Drosophila melanogaster: one gene and its partners. The protein of the gene in region 2 interacts with the protein of the main gene of each other region in a pairwise test. Each region holds a gene or a part of one and is shown on either strand. Other genes may lie near its edges. The genes, in order: CG31249, CG31807, SmydA-8 and HGTX.

What was found.
Region 1: the proteins of CG31807 (region 2) and CG31249 interact in a two-hybrid assay, tested with the Drosophila melanogaster proteins (one large-scale study listed by BioGRID).
Region 3: the proteins of CG31807 (region 2) and SmydA-8 interact in a two-hybrid assay, tested with the Drosophila melanogaster proteins (one large-scale study listed by BioGRID).
Region 4: the proteins of CG31807 (region 2) and HGTX interact in a two-hybrid assay, tested with the Drosophila melanogaster proteins (one large-scale study listed by BioGRID).

What each region holds. Positions count from the first base shown.
Region 1 is NT_033777.3:17,685,125-17,688,650, reverse strand, and holds CG31249 (uncharacterized protein), read left to right. Parts: upstream 1-1,579; 5' UTR 1,580-1,685; coding exon 1,686-1,755; intron 1,756-1,813; coding exon 1,814-2,140; intron 2,141-2,289; coding exon 2,290-2,645; 3' UTR 2,646-2,962; downstream 2,963-3,526. Other genes in the region: CG31360 (uncharacterized protein), read right to left, coding at 3,120-3,238, 3,301-3,478.
Region 2 is NT_033779.5:16,681,260-16,683,921, forward strand, and holds CG31807 (uncharacterized protein), read right to left. Parts: upstream 1,144-2,662; 5' UTR 1,108-1,143; coding exon 640-1,107; 3' UTR 560-639; downstream 1-559. Other genes in the region: squ (squash), read left to right, coding at 1-185; CG33552 (uncharacterized protein), read left to right, coding at 1,360-1,833.
Region 3 is NC_004354.4:2,204,989-2,210,611, forward strand, and holds SmydA-8 (SET and MYND domain containing, arthropod-specific, member 8), read right to left. Parts: upstream 3,691-5,623; 5' UTR 3,497-3,690; coding exon 2,546-3,496; intron 1,476-2,545; coding exon 1,038-1,475; 3' UTR 527-1,037; downstream 1-526.
Region 4 is NT_037436.4:14,596,535-14,601,449, forward strand, and holds the start of HGTX (HGTX), read right to left. Parts: upstream 3,007-4,915; 5' UTR 2,402-3,006; coding exon of another isoform or gene 2,180-2,401; coding exon 1,252-2,179; intron 1-1,251.

The DNA of each region.
Region 1 (3,526 bases), on a different chromosome or scaffold from region 2:
TGAAATTAAGCGAGAGAAACAAGCAAACAAGCAAAAATGAAAAACCCTCAGATGAAGGCAAGCAAACAATTTAAATTGAAATCAAATTAGGTGATATAATATATAAAAATACATAACATATACATACATAATTAATATAAACGAAACATGAAAAATCGAAAAAATGAAACCCTAATGCTGTAATCTTATGTTAACTGTATTATTTGCTGGAAGTGCTGCTGCTTCGTTTTATTTTATATCGAACTTACTTAAGGCGTAAATGACAAGATAAATAATTAGGTTTTTATCTTAATCTTAATTTAAAATGCAAAACAAATAAAACCAAGAAAACAAAGCAAAACAAAACGAAACCATAAAATGCTATAAAACACAAAGCGAAGCAAATCGAACTAAAGCTGTAGAGAAGCACGCAAAAAGGACTAATAACCACACATCCACACCCACACCCAAAATGCTTGGCGTTAGGAAACCAATAAACAATTAATGCAAAACCATACATGGGTGGGTGCACCAATTTGTATACTAAACTTTCTCACACATAATTAACGTGCTACATAAGAGATCGAAAATGAAATGTCTCCAGATTCTGGCATGAGCAAGTCTAGAGGTCCTTCCGGTTTCCGGTGGCGATCCTCTGGATCCAGAGGAACTGCAAGATATTGGGAGATAATAGGAAACTGCTGCTGTTGATACGTGTATTCGTGTAGTTGTTTGCAAACAAATATTATAACTCAGCATCTCGATATATAACGTGTAGTTATTAGTCTATAATTTGCTAGGATGTAAATGTATGTCCCTCAAACTTAATTTAATTATTTAATTAATATACATACATATATGATATACAATACAGCCTTTGTACTTGTCGTTTCTTATCGCTGATAAGGGAAAAATATTTTTTGGCGGGGAAATACTTTTTAGAACTCATTTCGATTTTTTCAGTGCAAATCAATTGGTCAGATTGATGAATCCTATGGTAACGCATTCCCAAAATATTTCTTATTATATTATTATAAACTATATTGCTTCTGTTCAGCGTAGGACATTCACTGTTGAGCGAAAGATTATTATATAAATGTATATTCGAGATAATATGCAATTGAGCACCTAAATACCATGTCTAGGTTTTCAAAAATGTCTAGTAACAAGATCTTTTGTCTGTTATTAGGCTGTACTTTCAGCATTGAGGTCGATGTTACTCGATTGGGAATTTGTGCATTGTATTTACAATGTCAATTTGTTCAAATTTACAATTTCAAAAATCAATTTTAAAAGAACTTACATTAATATTAAGAATTCGCGTGTTCCGGGATAAATTTGACTTTTTTAATTAATTGACAATTTTAATCGGTCAATGAAGAGCTTTAAAATTGTATTAATAGTTCTTCAATTAATTGAATAATATGATGTGCAAAAAAATAATTATCGGAAAAAATACTTTTTGACAGTAAGTAGTTTCTTACAAAATATTTGATTTAAAAATTATATATCGATACTTTTTCGAGATTATTAAATTCGAACAGCTTTATCACAGCAAGTTGGCAGCCCAATTTCTACGTCGATAAGTCCTCTCGTTTAATGTTCCATCCCTTAAATTTGGGCGATAAGAATAAGCACAGCCGGCTGTAACATTTTTTGTAAATTAACAGAGCGAATCGATTTTTGTATAGTAATCCGTTGAAAGCATGCTGTCGCTCAAGATGAAACTCGAGGTACTGGGTCGTCCCGATGTTGACATCCCGGTGGTGATGAGCGGTAATTGTCTAGTTTTCCTGATGGGGCTATAAGTCATCCCATTCTTTTCGTTCCGCAGACCGCAAGGAATTCGCCAACACAGTCCTCTGGTTGGAGGACCAGAAGATCCGGCTTTACTCCATAGAGGATCGCTGTAAGCTGCGCACTGTCGACAACCCTGAGATCTGGAAGGAGGGTTACTTAAAGTACTGTGCCGATTTGAGCATGCCGCCCCTGGAGACGCGGCAGGAGCAGCTGGCCTGGATTGTCAGCTATGCTGTGCGCCTGGACTTCCTCGATGATCCTGATCAGTTTGCCTCGATTAACACCAAACAGGTGCCACCCCAAAGCAATGGCAAGCAGTCCCAACAAAGGGTCCAGGCTATTTTCGATGGAAATATTAATAGTATGGTCTGATTTTAACTAAATTTACCATTTAAGGAACTTTAAATTTATATATTATGGATTTTTTAAGAGGTTCCAAAAACCACTTTTATTATCTATAGATGATAATCAGGTAAAGTACAACAAGTATTAATTCTTTCTTCCCACCAGCTCAGGAAAAAGCGTTCGTGGATGGAGTCCGGCTGCTGGCCAGCAAACTGAATGTGCCGCACCACCCGAACCATCTGTTGCAGCTGGAGGCTATCGCTCGCGTGGTGCACGAACGCCTCTCGCCCGCCGCCAAGGATCGCAAGCCGGTAGTGGGTAAACCCTTCCCTTTTGACAAGGGAAACGACGTCGTCTCGTCCAACGACTCTGCCCTGGACCTGCCCATGCGCATACTACGTCTTCTCCAGATCCAGAGCCTACGCGAGCTGCAGACACACATCAATGAGACCATTGTGGCGGTGCAGAACATCACGGCCAATCCAAAGACTGATACCAAGCTGGGGAAAGTGGGATTCTAGACGATTAACAGTAAAGGAACGCAATCGACACAATATAACATAAAAGGACATAAAGAACATAAAAGTTTTAAAATTGCATCTATAAAATATCCTTTAAAGCCAAGCAACAACATTTAGCAGAAATCAATAGATAGATCAACAGCCAAGCTATGAACAAGCAAACACCTTTTTTGAAAGCTATAAAATAAGAATCCTGTTGATATTTTATAATATTATTATTAATACAAACATATGTTTATTTATGATCCTCTTTCAAAAGATGCAATATTGTGTATGCCTATGTAATTAATTTATTTAAAATAAATCATAAATTCATTAAAGCAAACAAGGTTTTGTTTTCAACGATTTTAAATAGAAAAAATTCTAAAAACAAGGTTACAGCTATATTATTGTAATGCCACATGGTCGTACAAAAGAAAACATTAACCTTTATATATTAAGTGACTCTACGATTATAATTAAAACGTCATTGAATTAACGTCTAGAAAAGAACTGATGATCAGTGCTAGTATTTTCCTGTTCTTTTGGCTTCTCGGCGGTTGCCTTCAGGAAATTCGCGTCTGCCAGGCGGGCCACGCCCAGAACTCCAACGGCTATGGCGACGAAGGAGAAAGGAGTAAACATAAGACCGGATTTAAGATCCCAAGTGGCTCACCTGCAGCCAAGCCTTTCATAGTGAAATTCTCCAGAGGTTTCGCTTGTCTTTTTTTCGACTGTGCCAATAGGAAGGCACCAATTCCCAGGAGTCCAAGGCCACTGACCAGACGGCAGGCCAAGCAGTCCACCTCGTTGGAAACGTTGTCCTTGTTCCAAAAAGAAAGTCTACCGATCATTTTTAAAATTATTTCAATAATAACAATTTGGGAATGGATTTGGAAAAT
Region 2 (2,662 bases):
GTTCAATCAGTTCCTTCAGCCTTTATGAATCTGCCGCTTCAGATTTGGACAGCAGCAAGAAGCAGGGCGAGATCAAGGCGTCAAAGTCGGAGAAATACCTCGAAGTACCTTACAAACAGCTTGCGGAGAGTTACGACCAGGAAGTGGAATCACCAGTCCAATTTGGAAACCAATTCAATGAATGAAGGAGGAACCAACGGGGAATGCAATTATTAGAACCAAAAAATCAATCACTTTTTATATATAAGCTTCTGTAACATGTAAATAAACGGCTTAAACGTCGTTTAGAAAACCGAATTTATATTGGATGCAGTTCTACAAATAGAAAGAAAAATACTTGATATCATAGGGTAAACAAAATATTTATCTATTTTAATAAATTAAATGCGAAAGGAATGTTAGTGCTGTAGAATTCAATATATCCTTAAATGAATTTTTTTATATTAATTTATTGTTGCAAATGCATGTTTCCCAAACCATTTGGTAATTATTCAATTGTATCCCCTCCTAAATATGAAAAAATTGGAATATAGTCGGAAATATAATCGAGGTATTAAAATTTATGTTTATCGATTAAATCGATCGCGCTTATCAACGCACTATATTATAGCTAGAACATCGTATTTATAGAAAATAATTTTATGGCGTGTTTAATAACACACGCCAGACGTCTCTTTCAATAGCTACTTTGCGGCATATTGGGCACATATCGGCATGCTGCAAGTGGGTCCGGATGCACATCTCCCCAAAAAGGTGACCACATCTAAGCGAAACCAAGCGGTGATGATCCTTCGCTTCCCAAGGATCCAGGCATATGCAGCAAGTATTTTCGATGGCAATCTTCTCAAGCTGCTGTGTTAATTCGTCCTTGGACTCGAACAACAACTGCTCTTGCAATAATTTCTGATTGGTTATCTCTTCTTCCATTTGGTAATATAGCTTGAGTTCCTCCTCGCGCATTTTATCCTTCTCTTGAGTTGTAATATTTAGCTTCGCCAGTTGCTTGTCCTTTTGCTCACTTTTTTTCCTTTCCGCTAAGAGCTGCTCAACAACATCCTTCTTCAGCATCCTCATCAACGAGCGAGTCTGGGCTTTGTTATTGGGCATATTGTAAAGAAATTAAAATTACAAGGTGAACGAATTTTTTAGACAAGCACTTTTAGAACGAATGTCTTCTCAGTGAAGGTTTAAGCGTGGACTGCCTAGATTGAACAAAATTATTTTTTCTTGTAATCATTAGAATTAGTTGTGTGTTGCATTTTCCAACACAGCCAACATATTTACAGCTGTCAAAAAAAAAATCCATTTCAAAATAAAACTCGACTGTAATATTTGCGAATCGTTCACATCGAAAACGAGATGGATAAACAAGATATTACAAAGATGACCAAGAAAAAACTCATCGTTGAGGTCATTAAGCAGCGAAAACGGAACAAAGAAAAGGACGAAATCATCAAGGATAGTTTCGAGTCCAAAAAGCGTTTAATTGATCTGCGACTGCAACTGGACAAGGAGAAGAACATAACGAAGGAGTTGCGACTGAGGCTAGCGGCGCAGGACGCGATTGCGAATCAAGCGGAGAACCTGTCTATGAAACGAAAGAAGATCGCCGAAGAGAACAAGTGCTACATTTGCAAATGGAATTATGAGGTTACCGGAGACCATCGCCCAGTTTCAATTAAATGCGGTCACCTTTTTGGAGCGAATTGCATACTACATTACTTGCAGCGTAACAAGACATGCCCCATCTGCAAATCACAGATGATCCGCTGTATGGATGTTCGCATTATTATAGCAGGTCAAAATTTGTGCACGGCTGAATTATTACAGTAAACATTACATTTGCTGGGAAGTTGGACAAAATAAAAACCCAAGCAAAAGAAACAAGAGAAATTAATATTTTCTTGTATGTTTGTGATAATTAAACCACCACAATCATTTTCTCAATTTTTATTCAATTTCCCTTATTCAATCAATAGATGATTTGAACATTTGGCAAGCGTATATCGCAAGTGGAGTGAGACCCCCCGTAATTCCTTAATCAATAAACCACACTCCACTATATGCATACATAAATAATTTGTTATTGTTTTTGTGTGCGGGAACTATTATTATCAATTAAGCAATAATCTGTCGCAGAGTTTGCCAAATAACATTGAGAAAGTGGCTCACGTAATAAAGTAGAGGGAATTTGAAAAGTAGTGTAGTAGTAGTAGTAAAAGAATCAAGTTAAATAATAACGTTAATGTAGGTACATATGTATTGCTTAAAAATATAAATATTTTAGTGCATTTACTAATGTAGAGCAAGGTCCTTATCTGACTAATTGAATCAGGCTACAGTAACTTACTGGCTAAATTAGCAAACTTGTGCTGAGTTTTGGCGGTGCGAGTTGTCTGTCTCCTTTTTGTGGTGGCTGCTTCTCTCCCGTTTATTTTCGCGTGCATCTTCTCTTCCCGCCCGAGAAAAGTGTGAACTCACGAACACACGCAGCCAAAAGTTTTTAGTTCCGTGGCAACCACGTGCGTCTTTTGTTTCCTTTTTTCTTCTCTTGCGATTTTCCTTACTTCGCTCCCTTTTCTTCTATTCGCCGGGGTTGTCAAGCAGAAGTTTTGTTGTTATAAGTGGTGAAATGGATGCTGAAGTTGTTGTGTTTTATGCA
Region 3 (5,623 bases), on a different chromosome or scaffold from region 2:
TTGTTTTTTTTTCTACTGTAACTATAAATCTAGATACGTACTGATGCACACGACACTTGGTTAGATTAAGTCCTAGACCTAGGCCAGCCATGTACCGAGGTATGCGTGTATGCCGCAGCTATGGCATATCCGAATAATTGTGTACGGGCGACTGTCACCGAACCGCCGGCTTCTGTCCCCCGAGCCATGACCTCTGACCCCAGACCCCAGACCCCTGACCCCTGACCCCAGACCCCATTAAAGGCCCCCATTGCAAGTGCATGCAAATGTATGCCTACACGTACATGTACCCATACCAAATTATTGTTATTCTATTATGACTGTATGCCTGTGCGTGTGTGTCCGTCTGTGTATGCGCCATTAAAGAAAGCTTTTGTACAACAACAGAAAACCACAAAAGTCCATTTTGAAATCGATTGGCTGAAAAACCACACATGCCCCTGACAATGGGAATATGAAATGTGCGGGTAAGTAGCGTTGTGCTTGAAACAATCTATTTTTTACGAAATCAAATACGAAAGATACAGGCTCTAGAAATTCATACGCGTTAAGATTACTGCAATCAGTTTTGGCCAATAGCCCCAGAAATGCAATAGATAATCCATGTACCATATAAATCACATGCCATATACATACTGCCCAGTCGACTTGCTCCTCGTCAACACAGCATTCCTTTCACATACTACAGTGCTTGCCAAGACGATCCCAAAAAAACGAATGAGAGCCCAGAGAATCTACATCGTGGCAATTTTCAACTTGTTGGTCAATCGCAGACCGGTGATCTTCGTGGCTAGTTGGCTATTCATATTTATTGTCAGGGCACAGAGGCGTTCCTCGAAAGGGGTCCACATACAGAACGGATTGCAGATATAGTTCGAAAGGATTCGGTGTTTATTGGATTCTTAAGTGACTACGAATAAAATAGCAACAAAGGGCTCGGATGCGATTCACGCCACCCCGAAAAGTACGCATTCACAAAAGCACTCACTCATTCACACCTAAAAAAAAAAAAATGAAGTTTTGAAGCTAAATATGAATCACTGAATCTCCCCGGTGATCAGCTTCTTTAGGGTACACTCTCCGGCTCCCAGCTTGTGGAGGATGGCCAACACTTCCTCGCGGTAGCGATCCATGTGGCCCATCTCCTCCGGAGTGTACTCCTCGTGGTCGAACCGCGTCATCCTCCAGATCACATTCAGCTTGGCCTCGATCAGCACGTAGTTCGAGGAGGGACAGAAGCGCGGACACAGCTCGTTGATGAAGTGGATCATGTCCTGGACACTGCACGAGTTGATACGGTTATTGATGGTGTTCAGCGCGAAGTCCTGGTACTTGGCCATCTTTGCGTGCGGGAACACGTTCTCGCAAGTGATGCACCGCCAGTCCGGCTGCAGTGTCCGAGTCTGGACGGGAATCACCAGGCCACGGCAGCCCTGTTCCCGGCAGAAAAGCGCCGACAAGTAGGTGCCGTTTTCCTGCAAGAAGACAATGGTCAGTGAATCGAAGGACTTGGGGGGAATCAGGAAATCGGGGGTGGAATCTGCAGTCAAAGATCCGGCGGGTTCACGTCCGCCTCTGTCCATTCACGGCGTACAGTTGGTTCCACTCCGAATCGAAATGGAAATCGAAATCGAAATCAGAATCGAAATCAAAATTAACATTCTGTGTGTCATGCTCATGTAAATTTTGGGGGTGTGTGTTAGTAGCCCGGGAACTTTGGATGCCCACATTAAAGGCATATAGGCAAATAGGATCAATGGACTGATAATGTATGCCTCGGAGGTCTTGAACAAGAGTGCGTTTAAGGTGTATATTTAATAGCAAGAATGGAACTGTCCAACGACTGCAGGGCTGTGACAAAGATGTCTCAAGCTCACCCAACTCCCAACAAGTAATTTTGTTACTATGCCCATCAGGCAGTCATTTTAGCAGGGAAAAGTGCGTGTGCCTGTTACCAAATGTTGCCCCTTTGCCCACTTGATGGACACCCCCCCTTGGGCGCGCCCCTGGGCCCTGGTTGATGCAAATCATATAACTAATTTAATTAGGGAACGCATTTGTGTCAGGGGGCCTGGCCAGCGGCGGCCACTGCCAACGCCAGAGGCCATTATTCAACTCATCCCAGAGCGGCAGAGAGCGGCCACATAAATAGATGTGGCCGGCCGGATATGTGGATCGCGTACGTACATACATATATGCCCATGCCACTCACATCCCTACCACACGCGCACTTTCACAACGCCGGTGACATCGGCGTTGGCCAAGAAATGTGCCCGAAATTCAGAGCTTTTCAAATTGCAATTATTGTTTTTTGTTTTGGGACAAATATATTGCGATGGTCGCGATGCAGATGGCGGATAGGGAGAATGATAGCTATCAGGTAGGTTCAGAAAAAGAGGATTGGTGGAAAGTTTGGCGAAGATTGCTATTAACCATGAAGAAACTCCATCAGCCTAGAAATGACCATAGTCAGAAGCTAAGCTTGCAGATGGTGGGAGGAGGGATTACCCAAGGAGACCAGGATTCCTATTGGTACCGTACTCACAGTATTGTCGTGACACCTCACGCAGTCGCAGGCAAAGTGCTTGGTCATCTTGAGGAAGATATTCCGGGTGAGGTTGCCCCAGAGGATCTTGGTGTAGGTCGTGGTAATCTCACCGCCCTTGGGAATATCGCGCGCAGCCCGAACCACCGCCAGTCGACCGTTTTCGAAGTAGTGACTAGCGTTCGGGGTGCACTCGTGGTTCATGATCGCCGTGAGCGGGAACAGACCCCGCAGTAGCGTCTCGTGGCCGCCAGAGCGGCAAGGAGCCTCGAAGGCATTTGTATTGAGCACGCCCACGATCCGGAACAGCTGGTCCATGAACACCCGATCCGTGGTGGGGAAGTTCCGGAAGCATTGGGCCGCCTGGATGATCTCCCGCCGGTAAGCGCGCTCCGCATTCGCTTGCATGGCGTCCACCAGATGCCGCTGTTCCTTGCCCAAGTGGAAGACCCTCACTGCGGTGAGGATCCTCAGCGACATAGGATTCACCTGCTCCTGCTCCGCATCCACGTCTTTGGGCTGCCAGCGACGGAAGTGCTCGCACTCCGCCTGGTGCTCCTCGGAATCCGAACAGGTTTCGCATACGGGCAGGGTGCAGCGATGCCGGCAAAGGAATCCCGTTTGCGGCAGGGTCTCATGACAGCAGATGCAGCTGCTCAGTTGGCCCTTTCTCGCCGTCGGACCGGTGACTAGGGCTCGCTCCTGGAAGATCAGCTCGCCGGCGGCTATGTCTCGGGTGGCAAACACCCCACGACCTGCCACCGTGGAGGAGCTGATGGTCCAGTTGGGCTGCTCTTGGCGCAGATCCCCCAAGTGGACGTCTATCAGCTGCGCCAGCTGCTCGGGCGTGGTGTCGCGACAAGGGGCCATGTGAGCGCTCAGGGCGGCCAGTGTGGTGTCTCCTCCACCACCGCCTGGGCGAGGAGGCGGGCACTGGGCAGCAGTAGACATGGCGACTGCGGTGGGAGGTCGGTCGGAACTGCGGCGAACCAACGCGACGCGCGGCAACTCGGCGAGTGAAGATGTCTCCGCGCAGCTGGGCGGACTACGCGGGAATAGCAACGATATAGTGGCGACAGCGACGACAGCAGCAACATGAGCAGCGGCAGCAGCAGCAGCAACACCACCCAGCACATCAGCAACAACAGCAACAACTGACTGCCGACAGTGGAAGCAACCCAGCAAAGCAGCGACGCTTATGACGTGGACACACCGACGCCCTCGGAGAGCATTAGACACAACTAAAAAAACACAAATTAGAGGCATCCACCAGGGAACGGGGGAAGGCGATTGACGAAAGGGGCCGGGAGGTGAGGAACGGGAAATGGGGGGGCAAGGGGACAACAGCGACAACAGTCAAATATGATTTTTTCCAAGGCACACGCACACTGAAAGCACACACACTCGCCGCCAAGTTCCCATTTACGAAATCCAAAATAACATTTTCCCCGAAGGAAAGAACTTGAGCATTGTGTTCATTGTTTTGGCCAAAATTCGGGCTATTTTTAGGCAGCTTGACACAAAAGTTCAACACTTTTTGTGAGAAGCCAAAAGTTTTGATTCCGCGATAAGCGGTTTCGAAACGTTTTCGGAGTCGGGAACGTGGAGCCACTTGGTGCGCCACTGGGAAATAGAGACATTTGGCTGGGACGACGCAAAGCGGATTTTGCTTTTGACTCTTATTCAATTTGTGCTTGAGCTGTTGTTGCCGTGTGGTTGTTGCTGCCGCTGCTGTGGTTGCTATTGTTGCGTTCAATTGGATTCGCTAGTGGGCGTCCATCGGGGGTTGACGATCGCGAGGGGCATAGTGAAAGGCACTGATGCAGCCATCAGCCATCAGCCATTCAGCCATCAAAGAACATTTCCCACTGTCAATTTGTTCGCCAAACACCTCACTGTGGCTGAAACCCCCAGCCCCCTTCACCGAAGTCTGCTTGCGGTTGGTTATGGACGCCATAAACTGAAACGAAGCCATAGGAGCACCACCCACCCCATCTCATCCCCACCTCCACCCCCATCCCATCGCTATCACCATCTTCATCCGATTTCTGTCGCCCTACGACAATCTGAACGGTTGGCAAAATTATTTGTGGAGATGCAGCGCCATTGATACCAAGCGTGTTTGTCTCCCACGCTGCTACACTGGCCAAAAATGAGTGCACGACGTAATAGGCCGCTCATGGATAGGACTGTAAGCCCTGGAGAGTGTTGCCTAAATGCATACAACGTAGAATAAGAAATGAGTACTACAATCCTGGCTGGCAGTGCAACCCACTTTCTGCGGGTCTAACTACATATGGCAGTGCGTGTGGCCGGGACATAAATTAGGGCTTCGCTGGCCAATGAGTTGCGTGTTCCAGGGGCCAAGGGGTCGGAGACACCAGGCCGCAAAACGAGGTGAGCGTCGCAACACGTGACCTGGTGGGGAGAAGGACCAGTACCAGGACCATGACCAAAAATGGGGTGGCTCCACTCCCAGCTGTTCACTTTCCGACGCGAATGTCACGCACTGTCACATGTTCCAAAGTGGAGTAGGTTCGTCCTGCCACGCCCATTCTCTGCGGTAATACGTAAATCAGTTCTAAAGCGTACGACCTCCGTTCTCCCTGCTCCTGCTACGGACCGCCAGCAACTTATAGTTCGCCCACATTCCAAATCTATTTTCACTTTTACGCGCATTTTATTGGCCCAATCGAACGGAAGCTAGACTGAGCGGCATGAAGCGAATAGAACGCACTCGAATGCCAAATATCAAAAAGCGTGAATACCAACTGAAAAATTATAGGGTGCGTTCGGGCATTATCGACCATGAGTCCTTTAAAGCTATCATGATAAATATTATTACATTAGCACAACCACAACTTTTGTAATAGTCGATCAAATGTGGAATGCCATACCTTGTTGAATTCGTAGCTTAATTTCCTATCCAGTGGCATTCCCAGCTAAAAATATTAAAATTTCACCATTTTTCGAAAAAAAACGTGATGTAACCCCTTATAAAAAAGTGAAAATTTCGCAAAAAATTATTTTTACCAAATTATCTAAAAAATGAAATGGGTCGTTAGGTGAGGTTGTCAG
Region 4 (4,915 bases), on a different chromosome or scaffold from region 2:
AAACACACAATACGGAATTTGTTCGAATTAATTAAAGACCATTAAATAATTTGTCAAAGAATGAGTTACGTTTCTGGTGACCGAATCGTTTAAAGAAAAACCCAAATAAACGAATCAAATCACATAAACGCCCTCGTTAAAAATAATTAAAAATGTTATGGCAAATTGTCATCACCCTGTCAACCGCGCCCCCTCCTTTCAAACCACTGTCATGTCACACAATTGGTCTACATTTGAGTGAAAAAGTACAAAAAATGCGACGCAGAGTGGCTGAAAAACCAAATCATTTTAGTGAAACGACAGCGTCACAGATTCAGATCCCCTCCACCATTTATTTTCCATATAGACCACGTTTTTTGTGTGTCATTTTGATTTAATTACAAACAATTTGACAACTAATTGCTGCAAATTTTAACGTTAAAACGCGTATCTCATTACGTTATGTGGTAATTTTGCAATTGGATATTATAACCATTTTGGGTTTCGTAGAAAACGGTGTGCTCAATATCCAAAATTGCCCTGATTAGGTAAAGCGACCAGGGGGCGTAATGACAGGGGGGTTGTGGGCTGGGGAATGGCTTTTATTGAATCATGGAATCATATGGAATCATGCCAAACCGGATTCGTAAACAAAACAACAATTTTCGGTCGTTTTTGTTCGACGAGATTGCCTTTTTATTTTTCTGTTTGGTTTGCGAAACGAGTTTTTGAAGCATTTAAAATATATCTCTTTTTTTCTTTGGCTTTTTGAGTTCGGTGCATACAAAATATCTATTGATTCGTGTCTGATACATATGTACATATATACACATATTTCAGTGTTGCATAATGACTAGGTGCATTGAATTGGGAGAGACAATTGTAAATAAACAGGTAGCGTATTATTATTTCATTTTTATTATGCAATTAAGTTTAATAGTTATGCGTTCAAATTAGAGCAAAGTTCTTCAGCATTAAGCAACACATATAGCAACTTTTTGGAAAGCGCTTAAATTTAAATGGAATATTTTGATTTTTCCAAATTTAGATTTATGTCAATAAAATTGTAAAAACAAGAACCATTGTTTATGTATTTTATTTTATGCATTATTAAAATGTGTGTTTTAACAAACATCTTTAAGAAGTTCGAAATTTATTAAAAGTCCCCAAATCATGGCCTTATACACTTTCTTCCTTAATATAATTGGTATAAAATAACAGGGTATAATATATAATAAACCCAACCCATATTAAATCCATTCCTTTACTCACCTCCTGTTAAAGCACTTAGACCCGCCGATGTCACCGGCGGTGGTTTGGAGAGGATGGTATCGATGCCGTGCGGATTGGGTGCACCCTGGCTGTTGGTGTTCGTAGTCGTGGTGGAGGACGACGATGAGCTGCCACCGGATCCGCGATCACTGATCAAATGCGAATTCGGGCTGTGGCTATAGGACAAGCCATTTGCCGACGCCGACGATCCACCGACTCCTTGACCCTTCATTTCCGTGGTCATCGAGTGAAGAGCGGCCAGCGGGGGACCGAGAAAACTCAGTGGGAGCTTGTGGTCCATGTGGTTATTGTTGTTGTGACATCCGGGGTTTCCGGCATGGTTGGCATTGTGCAAAGCCAGTGGGTTCACTCCATGATGGTGCTGGAACTTTGCCCTCTGGCTGCTGAGATTCTCGGGACTGTAGTCGTTCTGGCCCTGCGGCGGTGGACTGGCGGATTCGCTGGTCTGGCATGGATCCTCCGCTCCGCTGCTCCTCTGGCTCAAGGCATACGACTTGGCACTGTCCACACCGGGACTGGAATTGTGTTCGTATCGCGGAGATGGCGAGGAGTCAGAATGGAGTCTAGAAGAGGCGGGTGGCGGTGTCGTCGATGGCGAGTCCGAATCCTTGAGACCTCCGCCATGTGCCGCCTTTAGCAACATTAGCGGACTGCTGTTGTTGTTGTTACTGCTATTATTGTTATTATTATTATTGTTGTTGGCATAAACGGCCGCTGCCGCCGCTGCACTGTGGTAATCGGCCAACTGTTGTTGATAGTCCGCCGCCGCCATCGCATGGGCATGGACATCCGCGAAGCCATTGCTCATGGCCGCCGCCAAATGATGACGTTGAGCCGCCGACGGGGGACTTCCCTGGGCGGCGGCCGCAAAACTATGATGGCGCATATACGGATTTATCAGATCCATCTCGGGCGCTTCGTGGCCGTAGTCCAGGCACTCCGGGTGCTGCTGCGGTGGTGCTCGGTAAAATGCCGGCGGAAGGGCCAAGTTAAAGGCGGAATTGGCGGACAGCTGGAAGCTCTGGGCCAGCTGCTTGGCCGCCACCTTGGCGTCTGGCGGTGGAGGCGTGGGCGAGGGATTGCTGCTGCCACCCGCCGGCGTAATGCTCAGGAATGGACTACCCAGCTTGGGATCGGTCTACGGATAGGTATTCACGCGGAGAAGATCGAATCTTAACGATTTAGGCTTTTCAGTTTGGTTATAAATAGTATTTAAGCAATAGCAGCTTTTTGTTCAAATATTTTTGATTAATTACTTCTATGTAATTAAGACCAAAAAAATTATTTAAGGGGATATCCTGCTTTATGCTTATAAAACTTATTGAGTTCCTTAATAATTTTTTGGAAATTTTGTTTAACTACGTATTTTGCTTGAATTGTTTTCAATTATAATGTCAGCACTTCAGTTTCCGATGTACGCAGTATTTATATTTATATAGGGTTTTTAATATTTTCCGATCACGATACGATTAAAACACGTAAATCTATATATTCAAGATCAAATGATCAAATGATCTTGAATCCTTTTTAGCACAAGCACGAAACCGATTTTGTCAAACGGTTGAGCACGAAAACGTTTATTGTTCAAATCGTTCTTAGATTTTAAGAAACTACACTTGGCATAATCGATTTGAACGAGATCAGGCTATATGGGTAACTCCGTGGCCGGAAAATATCGTAGTGAATGAAGACCCGCGCGTGTCCGCTTGTTTAGGCCTACGACTAACGAATGATTTCGAAATTGACTCGACTGGCCCTCAGTCGCACAATCTCAGTTTCAATTTCAGTTTCGGTTTTTGGTTGGGGGTACGGCTTTCAACCCTCCGCATTCCGATTCCACTTCCACTCGCAGCATCATCTCTAGAGCGCGCGAGGGAGAGAGTCGTATATGGTTGTCTTGCTCCCCCATATCGATGTGTCTCTTTCTCGCCCACAAGAGTGTTCCACAATCAGTGTAAACATGAAATGCAGACTGGAACGCAGTGGCATTGGCACAAAACGAATGGGAATTTTATTATGTACATCATTAAAATCAACTATTTCGGATTCGGATTGGAGCCTGGGACTGAAACGGGAACTTATCCTGGCACTCTTGGTGTGCTTTGTCTCGCTTGCACCACCATCTGTCCTTTTCTGGCCAACTGTTTCCTTGAGGCTGAGTGCATTTTCATGGCTTTTTCCCTGGGTCGCTGGATTGTGGGTGGCCTTTTTGTCGACTGCGAATTCCGTTTATTTGTTTAAAAAGCTATAAATATTGAGACGAAGCTGGCAGCTTTTTTCGTTGGACTTATTCATTTAAATAATTAAAAATTGCGCTGGCGATAAATGAGAGCTATAAATGTAAACGAGAAACTATAGGTTAAAGTAGAAGTATTTCAACACTTTTTTTAAATGTTTGTTTGTAATTAATTTAATACAAAATTCTGTACTTAAGTAATATAACATAAATATGTGAAATGTTATTAATTCGCGAACTGTAAAGAATATGCCTATATAGTTTTATTTTTTAATTACTCTATATTTTAAGGATTTTTTTTAACCATATACCAAAGACACCTTTTTCTAGATTATCTTATAAATTATTTTCAGAAATGTGAGTCCCAGCACAGCATACCAACATATATATGTATGTATCACGTTTTGTACCGCTCACACTTTCATCACCGAACTGAATTAATACGCTAATTAACATTTTAATATTATTATGTGCCCGTCGGTGGGCCGGAGGATTGTTAACCCACCGACGGCCAACGAATTATATTTATGTTTATCTATATAAAAATACCGCTGTTGCTGGTGTTACACACACACACACATACTCTGACAGGCAGACGGGTGGTCCACATACAAATACAAAAATGCGCTTCATTTAATAATAAACTACACACAATTTTAATTTACTCAGACAAAACGGTGAGATCTCATAGGAATGAAATGGGATGTGGAATAGAGGGCAAGGCCACGCCCACTAAAATGAGAAAGGGAGAGAGAACTTGGACCGCCATTGTGAATGAATGTGAGTGAAAGTATGAAGGAGCGAATTCACTCAACCGTTGAGTGAGTATCTCTATCTTTTGCTGGTCATTTCCACCACAGCTTGTTGATTTTCGACTGTGTTCTTTATTTAATTGACTTTGCCGACCCATAAAAATGAAGACCTTAAATACTCCTGGAAGCCTTACCCATCCATTCGTCTCTCCTTTCGTAGTTCGTCTAAGCAGCCCTCATCTTTTGCTTTGATCTGAAACAATTCCCCATAAATTTATGCGTGGCAGAAAACATGTCATAGAATTTTCTTTCATCGTAGTTAACAGATCTTTAACGAAAAATATTGAAAAATTTACACTTTAAATTTTAAGGTTGCCTGTAAGCATTCAGCTTTAATATAAAAACTATTGAATTTGTTTAAAAACGAAAAAGTTAATTGTAAGATTTATATTATCAATATAAGTCGTTTGTCACTACATTTTTTTTAAGACAACTTTAAATACAAGAAAAACATAATAATACATACCCTTAAGAAAAAAAATAATATTTTATAAATTCATAACTAAATCCATCAAGTCTTTTTTACAGTATATTTACAGTGTTCATAAATTTCGGCCCCACAAAAAATCTAACAAGACACTAAAAACTTGGTTAA